3 linked regions of the Solanum lycopersicum genome follow. The protein of the gene in region 2 interacts with the protein of the main gene of each other region in a pairwise test. Links are inferred from orthologs where the notes say so. Each region holds a gene or a part of one and is shown on either strand. Other genes may lie near its edges. The genes, in order: scarecrow-like protein 23, transcription factor BEE 1-like and transcription factor HEC3.

Evidence for each region.
Region 1: the proteins of transcription factor BEE 1-like (region 2) and scarecrow-like protein 23 interact in binary tests that used the Arabidopsis thaliana proteins (3 or more experiments, as listed by UniProt). The link is inferred for Solanum lycopersicum from reciprocal best matches to the Arabidopsis thaliana genes BEE1 and AT5G41920.
Region 3: the proteins of transcription factor BEE 1-like (region 2) and transcription factor HEC3 interact in binary tests that used the Arabidopsis thaliana proteins (3 or more experiments, as listed by UniProt). The link is inferred for Solanum lycopersicum from reciprocal best matches to the Arabidopsis thaliana genes BEE1 and HEC3.

Annotation. Positions count from the first base shown.
Region 1 is NC_090806.1:59,132,814-59,136,467, reverse strand, and holds scarecrow-like protein 23, read left to right. Parts: upstream 1-1,293; 5' UTR 1,294-1,585; coding exon 1,586-2,890; 3' UTR 2,891-3,100; downstream 3,101-3,654. UniProt on the Arabidopsis thaliana protein: Probable transcription factor involved in plant development.
Region 2 is NC_090811.1:47,740,968-47,745,080, forward strand, and holds transcription factor BEE 1-like, read left to right. Parts: upstream 1-1,187; 5' UTR 1,188-1,399; coding exon 1,400-1,750; intron 1,751-2,370; coding exon 2,371-2,490; intron 2,491-2,575; coding exon 2,576-2,641; intron 2,642-3,150; coding exon 3,151-3,219; intron 3,220-3,304; coding exon 3,305-3,382; intron 3,383-3,502; coding exon 3,503-3,637; 3' UTR 3,638-3,772; downstream 3,773-4,113. UniProt on the Arabidopsis thaliana protein: Positive regulator of brassinosteroid signaling.
Region 3 is NC_090810.1:1,211,180-1,214,372, forward strand, and holds transcription factor HEC3, read left to right. Parts: upstream 1-1,438; 5' UTR 1,439-1,572; coding exon 1,573-2,424; 3' UTR 2,425-2,535; downstream 2,536-3,193. UniProt on the Arabidopsis thaliana protein: Required for the female reproductive tract development and fertility.

The sequences.
Region 1 (3,654 bases), on a different chromosome or scaffold from region 2:
TACCCCTAGACTATGACTAAAATTTCATAGACATATCTTAACTAAACTAAGATCCTATTACCCCTAAACTTATTTTTTGTAATTTTATGTAACTTTTGTTTTATGTGCTAATATATATCACTAATATATGCTAATATCTTTAATTCATAAATTATTTATTTTTTGTCTATCCAAGATACTCTCTGGATTCCCCAATATTTTCCCAAACAAATCTTCGAGAATCCCAAGATATTGTACTAGATCAAGCTTGCCATACTTTTTCCCTTTGGGTAAAATAATAGTGACAAAGCAACGTGGGGCATTGAAGCTACTTGGAGTAACATGATAACTACTGTATTATATTTGTTTGCAAAATGGAGTATCGAAACAGACGTGACAAGCTACTACAAGCATTTCTTTACAAAATTTTCAGCAACTTTACACTTCATTCTTACGATTTATTTATTAAATATTTTCTAATTTAGTATCTTTTTTTTTAAAAAAATAAAAAGATAATTTTACTTGTTTACATAGACTTAATATTTTTGAAAAGTGTAGTGGATAATATATTTGAGATTTTATCTATTAATATGGGTAAGATGAATTCACTATCTAAATTAATGTTTTCTTAATATGTTTGTAAATTCATAATTCAAAAAATAAAAAATACAGGAGATTATTATTCATCATGTGGGGTTCATGACTTGTCCACATTGTGGCAGAGTTATATGATCCTAAAGGTCATAATTCAATTGAATTCCTTTATGAGAAAAATATATTAGAAAATAAACTAAAATTGTTTTTTATATATCAAAAACATAAATCCCTTAACATAAAATAAAAAAATGAATTTAGAAGTAGCTTAGCACGGTTCAAACTTAAGTTACTCAGTCCATCTCTAATTCACTATTTTATTCATTCGGTAGCAGATCTTTTACAATTGAGCAATTTGAATTAGCTCTGATTTGTTTAAAAAATGTTATTTGGGGACAATTCAGTATAAATTGATATAAATTTGATAACCTAAAGCATTCGTCATCATAAATTTCAAATAGTTGATGAAAAAAAAAAGTTGTTTGAAATTGACTGATTGTACAACTAGTTTTCAAATATGTGATGCCTCCTTTAAATTTGATAAAATTGCTTCACTCGAAATTCTATTATGAATTCTTCTATGTTTTTGAGTAAATATAAACCGATTCGCTAACATTTTTTTGTTTCTTGAATTTCCTATATTAAGGTTAAATATTACTCTAAAATTAACCCAAAAAAAAAAGTAAATTTATTTAAAACACCTAATAATCAAGAGGGAGAACATTTATTTCCAAGGAAACTATGTTTTTTCCCTTGGAAGAGATGTGAATATATTTATAACGATGAATGAGGGATTATAATAATGGTAGTACTAGTATTATTAATAGGAGTATAGTATTTTTATGATTGAGGAAAAATTCAAACACAAAAATACAAAAACCTCACTTCAATGTGTCCTACAAAAGATGAATAATTCCAAAAAGTCATCACCCTTTTTTTTCACAAATCCCCCTTTCAATTATCCTCACCACTCATTTTTTTATTCTACATTCTTTGCCATGTGATGTGATGAATGATCATGCTTTTCGTATCTGCAATTCCAATTAATCATACATCTTCGTATTCATCTTCCATGTCTTCTAAGCGCTCAATTTCTGAGTTTACTCCGGTCTCAGATGAACCTCAACTTCTTACTAAACGGCCCCGAAATGAAAGGGGAGAGGAAGAGGAAGAAGAAGGTGAGGAGTTACTTCTCGTTGACGCCGATTCCATAGGTCTTCGCCTTCTCGGCTTGCTCCTTCAATGCGCTGAGTTTGTTGCCATGGAGAATCTCGATGAAGCTGCTGATTTATTGCCGGAAATCGCTGAGCTTTCTTCGCCGTTCGGCTCATCAGCTGAGCGAGTCGCTGCTTACTTCGCTGAATCTCTATCGGCCAGAATTATCAGTTCTCATCTCCGATTTTATTCTCCGCTTAACCTCAAATCCCTAACTCTCACGCATTCCCAAAAACTCTTCACCGCTCTGCAATCTTACAACACAATAAGTCCGCTCATCAAATTCTCTCACTACACTGCAAATCAAGCTATCTACCAAGCATTAGAAGGTGAAGATCACGTCCACGTCATCGATCTCGACATCATGCAAGGTCTTCAATGGCCAGGATTGTTCCAAATCCTCTCCTCTCGATCGAGAAAGCTCCGTTCCATCAGAATCACCGGCGTCGGATCCTCCATGGAATTACTCGAATCCACCGGCCGTCGACTCACCGAATTCGCCAACTCATTCGGACTTCCGTTCGAGTTTCAACCTTTTGAAGGCAAAATCGGACACATCACAGACCTGAATCAACTCGGAGTCAAAATTGGGGAAACTACCGTTGTCAATTGGATGCACCATTGCCTCTACAATATCACAGGGAGTGATTTAGGTACTTTCCGATTGTTAACTTTGTTAAGGCCGAAATTGATCACACTGGTTGAACAAGATCTGAGTCACGGAGGAAACTTTTTGAGCCGATTCGTTGAGGCATTGCATTATTACTCCGCCTTGTTTGATGCATTGGGGGATGGATTGAGTGAAGAGAGTGCAGAGAGGCATAGAGTGGAACAGCAGTTGTTCGGTAGCGAAATTAGGAATATTGTAGCGGTAGGTGGGCCCAAGAGGACGGGGGAAGTACCCGTAGAGAGATGGGGCGATGAATTGAAACGAATCGGGTTTTTACCCGTTTCATTATCGGGTACTCCAGCTGCTCAAGCAAGTTTATTATTAGGGATGTTTCCGAGAGGGTATACGTTGGTGGAAGAAAATGGGTGTTTAAAATTGGGATGGAAGGATTTATCGTTGTTGACTGCATCTGCATGGCAACCTTGCGATTAAGATAGCCCATTTTTTGGTTGTTGTTTCAATTTGTAAGTTTTGGATGATGTTACAAATACCATAACAAATTGGACATACTAATAAGTGAAAGTGCTCTTTGTTCACTCTGGTCCTAATTCTGAGGAGGCCCCTACACATATGTATTTGTGTTTATCATTCTTGAAAATTTTGTTCTTTTAAGAAAAATAGTAATTGCATTGGATTAAAGAATTCTTGTCCTTTTCTTTACTAAATAATTGTGGTGGAAGATTCTATTTTGTCTGTTACATCCTCTCTATTAGACCTTACATTTCCTTAAAAAATATTTTAAATTAAAGATATATTTTATGATGGCTAAAAACTAAAAGTTCGACCAAAATAACTTTGAGAAAATGCTCTAAAATCTTTCAATTTATAGTCAGATTTTCAATTGGATACTCATATGTCACGGAGTTACATTACCTTCTAGGCTATTTTAAAATGGAGTTATTCACTCTCTAAATGCTATAGAGTGTGTAGTTCACTCTGTTGGAGAGATTGAGAGCAAAAACATTTTTTCAATTTATGCGAAACTTTTTATTTTTTGATAGTCAAATAGTTTAAATTTAATCAAAATTTTACGTATAAATTTTCAAATTTTTAAAAATGAATTTATATATTTATAAACTACAGAATAATTATTATAAGTCATAATAAATAATAATTCAAAACATTAAAAGCTAGACTTATTCAAATCTTGAAATCTGAAAATGTCACATAAATTGAGAATGAAATAATTATTTTTG
Region 2 (4,113 bases):
AAAGTAAAATATAAAGTTGTGTCGGCCATTTGGCCAAGTTGTTAAGAATTTCTTGTATAAATAGAGGGTTCTCCCTCATAATAAAATCATCCCTGGTCCTTTTTCCTTGACAACTCTCTCTCTCACTCTTAAATTCCGCTTCCACCCAAAATTGGTATCAGAGCTAGTTCACAAAAAATAAAATATGAAAAATCCAGAGATGACAAATCTTATTTTGAAGAAGCTATTGAGCAAGAAATTTGACATGAAAGATTTGAAGCTGCAAAGAAAATCCTTGAAATGAAAATTTCAAAAGAAGACGGTATATTACATCTTTCTCCAAAGAGGTACATTGAAAAAAGGTTCTTAAGAGATTCACTATGCATATATGAACAAGCCCATAAGTATATTATTAACTTCTGATCATTTCAAGCTTTCATAGTTACCAATGTCTTAGTCTGTGAATGGGGTGGAGCACATATCAAAAGTTCCTTGTGCTAGCGCAATTGGGAGCATTACGTATGCTATGGTATGCCCAAGTCTAGATATTTTTCAATCTAGAAGTGTGGTAAGCAAGTACATGACAAACACACGAAAAAAGTATTGAAAAGTTGTCAAGTACATATTGAGATATCTCACAAGAGCTTTTGATATTGGCTTGATCTTTCAAAAAAGTGAAAGTATTTTGGCTCTCAGTTATGTAAATTCTAACTATGCAGGGAATCTTGATAGAAGGAGGTTCACAATTGAATACATCTTTACTCTTTTTGGCATTGTCGTTAATTAAAAATCGATTTTACGGTCGATAGTCACTTTATCTACAATAGAGGCATAATATATGACAGTGATAGAGGAAGTTAAAGAAGTTGTTTGGTTGAAAGGTTTGGTGGCAAAATTGAATTTGGTTCAGCTGGAATCAACTCTAAAAGGTGATAGTCAAAGCACTATTTATTTGATTGAAAATTAAAAATTTCATGAGCGCACCAAAAACTATAAGGTTAAATAACATTTTGATAAATTTGACATAACTATAGGATCACAAAAACAAATAATTTTTTTTTATTATCTTAAACTTTATGCCAAATTAAAATAAATTATTTTTTTTTAAAACAAATGAAATATGATAATTTAGCTCATTTAAAGCCAACTTCTACTGCAGGGTCCCATGAAATTGTGTACATATCCTGAATATGGTCCATATGGGGACAGAATCCCAAACCTCCAATTGGCTGGATCCCTCAAAATGCTTCACTACTGCATTCTTAATTTTTTTTTTTTTTAAAAAAAAACAAATTTGAAAAAACTCACATTTTGCCCATGCTCTATAAATATATTTGACAGACACTACTTCTCTTAACATAAAAAAAACATACAATTAACATCAACATATATTATTTTTTATAATATACAAGAAGTTGTCATGGCTCATCATTATTTCAATCCAGATATGCAAATCATTATTCCACCATCCTCTGTATTTAACACTGACACAAATTTGAATTTTCATAACCAATTTCCAGAACAAAATTACTTGAATACCATTTCACTGGAAATGTCTAATTTCAATTTTCATAAGCACTCTGATGAACATATTTTGAACCAAACCTCTGACTTCCCTGTATATTTAACAGAAAATTTCCAACAAGATATGTTCAACCTTCCAGTACCAACTAGAAATGATATAAATGAAAGCAAGAAAAGGAAAACAATTGAAACCCCAGAAAGTAGCTCTGCTTACTCATCCCCTGCAGTTTCTTCGAGAAGAAAAACCGTAAGTTAATCTTCAACTCTTTCTATTTTCTATGTAGTAAGGGATTGGTTCGCTACTCGTTAGGAGGTGAATTATTCATGCATTAGAGTCGGTATCAAACTTGTACCATGTTTGGTAGCATTTTAGTTGCTATAGAGTGTTTGGTTATAACATGTGTAAAATCCTGAGCACTTAATCCGTTTCATTTTACTTGATCTTATATCAAAAATAAATATTTTATTTTACTTGTACTTTGAGCAAATCAAGATAGCTTTATTATTAAATAACTACATAAAATAATAGTAATCAAATTTAGAGTTTCAAAACATTATTAATAAGTTTAATTTTTAAAATACATTTTTAATTAAAGATTTCTATCAGGTCAATATGAGTCAAGTAATATGAAACACATGAAGTATAACTTATGAAAAAAATTTATCTACTATGTTCTATAGAGCAGAAGATAGAATAATTAATACATTAACCAGCAACAAACCAAACAAATAAACAAAAGGATTCAAGAATTCTTATGTACTATTATAGTATCTTATTTTATAGAGTATAATTTAGTTAAATTCTCTTTGAACCATGTAACTTTTCCACACTTAATATGTACATATTTTTGACATTACAATTTACAGGGCAAAGGAAGAGGAAAGAGAGTAAAAAGGGATGAAAATGAAGAAGAGAAACTAAGGCAAGTAGTGCATGTAAGAGCCAAGAGAGGCCAAGCAACTGATAGTCACAGTTTAGCAGAAAGGGTAATTTCCTCTCCCTTTTAGTATATCCTGTTTTTTCACATATGTACTAAAAATTGACTAATGTATTTCTTTTTTTGTAATTTAGGTTAGAAGAGGAAAAATTAATGAAAGACTTAGGTGTTTACAAGATATTGTTCCAGGATGCTACAAGGTAATGTTTCTTTTTACATTACAATGTCAAATTGAAGTTTAGGATGTGGTGTTGTGGATGTGGCTACTCCTACCTTAACAAGATGTCTCGGATTTGAGTCTATTTTTGGTAGGGAGAACTTCCTCCTAATGGAGCCCTACACGGTATGAATCCAGATATAGTCGGGCTCCAATCAAGGGCGTAGCTACCCTATAGTGAAGGCGTCCAATTAGATACCCTTCGCCGGAAAATAATACCGTATTTATAAGTAATATGATACACGAAGTGATTAAATGACAAATTTTGGACACCCTTGAAAAAATAAGGTATTTTAGCCCAGTGATTTTAGATGCCTTTAAAGAGCCCTAAATGCTCACGTGTTTGAATCTCACTAACAACATTTTTTCTCCTTTTTTTTTGACACTCTTCGTGAAGTTCCTGGCTCCACCACTAGGTCCAATGGGAGTACCTAACACTAAAAAAAACATTGAGTTTAACATAATAACATTCAAATTTCAATCTAATTTCAGTCTATGGGCATGGCAGTAATGCTGGATGAAATAATTAACTATGTGCAATCTTTACAAAATCAAGTTGAGGTGAGTTTAAATGATCCAACACAACTTGTTTTCTGATTGACCAAAACACACACACAAAATGACTTGTTGTATTTGTTGGATTTAGTTCCTCTCAATGAAGCTATCTGCAGCTAGCACATATTATGACTTCAATTCAGAGACAGACATTTTGGAGACAATGCAGGTACTCCAAATTTACATAGTTTTAATTTCGATTTTGTTAGATCATACTTGTGTAGAGATTAACTTGTAATTTATCTTATAAGTGATTTGATTGTATAGATCGATATTTTTCGACTTGCAGAGAGCAAAGGCATATGAAGCAAACATGATGCAGAAGCTAAAGAAAGAAGGATGTGAAGGGATGGGTTCTAATCAAGTTGGCCCTTTAATTGACCGCACTTTTGGCTGCTATCCCAAGTTGTCTTACAACACCTAAAGATTCATTCAACTATTTTTCCTTTTCTGTTCAGTAGTATTATACATTTGTAATTTTTGTACACATGAAAAATTGGACACATATCCATGTATCAAGTCTCATAATACAACCAAACAGACATTTTTTTAAGCCTAATTTTACTCAAGCATCGTTTTGAGTAATTTATGCATTGCAGGATTTTTTTTCATCATTCATAATTATGACATTATTATTACATTATCCCCGCATAAATACTAGTGATACACTTGACCTTTTCCAAAGCTTTTTCTTCCAAATTTTTAAAGACAAACAAGGTTAAATTGAAAAATAATAAAAATTATTATTTTCTAAAAGCAAAACCGAATGCAATGTATATTATCTTAACATGTATATTCCGTTTTTAGTGAATAAATCAAATCTACTAACAAAGTACATTGACTAAATAATTTTGTCATAATTTATTTAATCTTGAACTAATGTAGTTTGCAACCCAATCT
Region 3 (3,193 bases), on a different chromosome or scaffold from region 2:
ATATTTATTGCTCTTTCGCACATTTTCGAAGATCTTCAAATAGTTGTTGTACTTGTAAAATTCACGGGTCAACACATTATCAGTTTCTAGTAGGCAAATTGATGATTCTAGATCCACCAATGTTAATTTGAGGGAAATGTTCGCATGATGAATGATTCGCATATAGAAAAATTGTATATATTTATGTGACTATATGATAATGTATATGAGTTTATAATTAAAGAGATTTGATGTAGTAATCAATGAGAATAAATATTATAGCATAACATATTAGTAGGGATAATATATATATAGAATTGACATTGAAGATTAATATGATAGATCGTCATAGATGTAAATACAAAAATGGAACGATTCTCATTTGAGAAGTATCTACATAAAATTAACAAAAATCTACGTGTATTCTATCTCATGATTTCACCAACTCACAAATATCACAAACTAATAGAAAATAATTGTGTGACTATATAGTATATTGCATATAAGTATAATTATAATGATTTGAAATAATCATACAAAAGAATGAAATCATAATTTAACAATTAGGAACAACAAAGAATAATAAATCTTTCCAGAAAAAAATGATAAATACAAATCTGAATACTTCCTATATAATGACACGAGTCTCAATTCAATAGGAATCCTATAAAAATCAATAAAAATCTGAAATTATTTTCTAATATTTTCATGCGGTATTAACCTCTAGATCACACCCAAGTCATGAAGAATTTATCAATTGATTTTGATGGCTAGCAAATTAAGCAAAACAAATAGATAAATTCTAGGGATGAAGCAAAGGCAACAAGTCTCTACTAAATGCACTTGTATACCAATATAGCAAAAGTAGGACATTTATGGCCTTTGAAACACACTCCCCCCCAACCCACAACCCTCACAAAAATAGAAACTTCTTTTTGTTTATCTATTTATTTTTGAAAATAACTTGATCTTGTGGTCCCCCTCCCACAATAATTATTATTTTAGCTCGGAGCTGGAGTATAGTTTACGATACTTTGATTCATATCATATATTTATTTTTACAATTTTATAATAGTTGTTGTTAGATCAACAACTCAAACGACTGAGCATGTTGTTGTTGTTGTTAGACTAGTAACTTAAAAATGATTACTACAATCTCAACTTAACAAATTCTAAATCTCGGCTCCGCATTTTACTTTTATTAGAGACTCAATAAAGTTTGTAACACCCCCACCCCCTTCTTCCATTTGTCCCTCTATATATTGACATATATACATGTAAATATATATGTACGAATTGTGTATGTCATAATGTATATAACTTACACCTTTTCACTACCCTACGAAGATGTACTATTTAGCCTTCAAAGGCTTCACACAAAGTACATATTCATGAGCTTTGATTCAACTTTGCAATAAGTCACCTCCCTTTTTGCACCCCTCTTTTTTTTCTTTTTCTTTTTAATTACAATTTTTGGTTAAAGGGTTTCAATAAATATGAGAAAAATATTTTCATAATGACACAAAAAAAACACAATAGATATTCTTCTTCTTCTTCTTTCTTGATATATTCACCCTTTATACTCTTCTTACCATGGATATCAACCACATTAATAAACTCACTACCTCCACTTGGGATCCAACCATGTCCAATATGGACAACCAACAAGTCTTTCGCGATCAACAACAACAACAACAACCATGCTTGTCCAGTATACCAAACGACCATATCTACCACGAACATCATCATCATCAACAACAATTTCATTTCGAACATAACCCTATTTGGCCTAGTTTTCCTCTTCAAAACCCTCAACACCATCACCTTCCCTCCTCCTCAACCCAACAACAACAACAACAACAAGAAGAAGTAGTAGTTGTCCCTTTTGATCATGTGTTAAACAACCATGTTCAAACCCTAATAGAGGATCAAGAACACGATGATCAAGACGAAGATGAAGAGGAAGAAGAAGAGCTAGGAGCCATGAAAGAAATGATGTTCAAAATTGCATCTATGCAACCAGTAGACATTGATCCATCCACTATACGAAAACCTAAAAGGCGTAACGTACGTATAAGCAATGATCCACAAAGCGTAGCAGCCAGGCTACGCCGCGAAAGGATAAGTGAAAAAATCAGAATCTTGCAAAGATTAGTCCCTGGTGGAACAAAAATGGACACTGCATCCATGTTAGACGAAGCAATTCGCTATGTTAAGTTCTTAAAAAGACAAATCCGTCAATTACAATCATCGAATCATAACCTCCCACCAGCACAGATACCAGTATCGTCATGCCCTAATAATGAAAATTGGGCAAATAATATTGTCACACCAAGTACAAAAGGTCTGATTCTTGGCTCCTCTAGTAGTACTACAACCAATAATGTTACAACTTTTGTTGGTAACACTACATTGGATCCACCTTATGAGGTAATTGGTAATTAGTTAGGTCATATTATTATTATTATTATTATTATTATTATTATTATTGTGTAGTAATTGGAATTTTTAAGAATAAAAATATTATATATAGAGGAATAATTAATTATTTGTGTATAGTGGATCATGTGAATTGTGAACTAAAAAAAATAGGTTTGTTAGGATTGTGTTGACTTAAAGGGCATGATAATCATCACAACGGTTAGAGTTGAGTTACGTATGTTGGTATATACTAGTATATTAATAATTATAGAATATGGTTTTTATCTATTTATTTTTTCTGATCATCAAAAAGTTCGTTTGGCTGAATTCTCTCCCGGGAATAAAACAGTGACGTGAGAAGAAATTGAATATGATTATACTCTTTGGCCCACCTCACACACATTTATTTATTTTTTCGATTTTCAATTTGGTATCTGGGGGTCTGGTTAAATTTAGATTAGCGTTGGAAAATTTCATATTAGGATTTAGTGTTTCCTAATAAAGGTGACTCTGTATTCAGAAGGACTTGAACTCGAGACCTCTGATTAAAGATAAAGGAGTACTTACTACTCCACAACTACTCTTGCTGGTATAATCTCACGCACTTGTTTGTGCTCGTGTGCGCATGTTTGTACAATTTGTATTATGTATATGTATATTGAGTTTAATTTATATATTACACACCAAAAGTGTAAAGAAAATTATATTTTATGAAAGATTTCAAATCTCGTTTTTATGGAAAATTACTTGTAGATATCTTTTGAATAAATTGATAGTGTGATTTAATTCATTT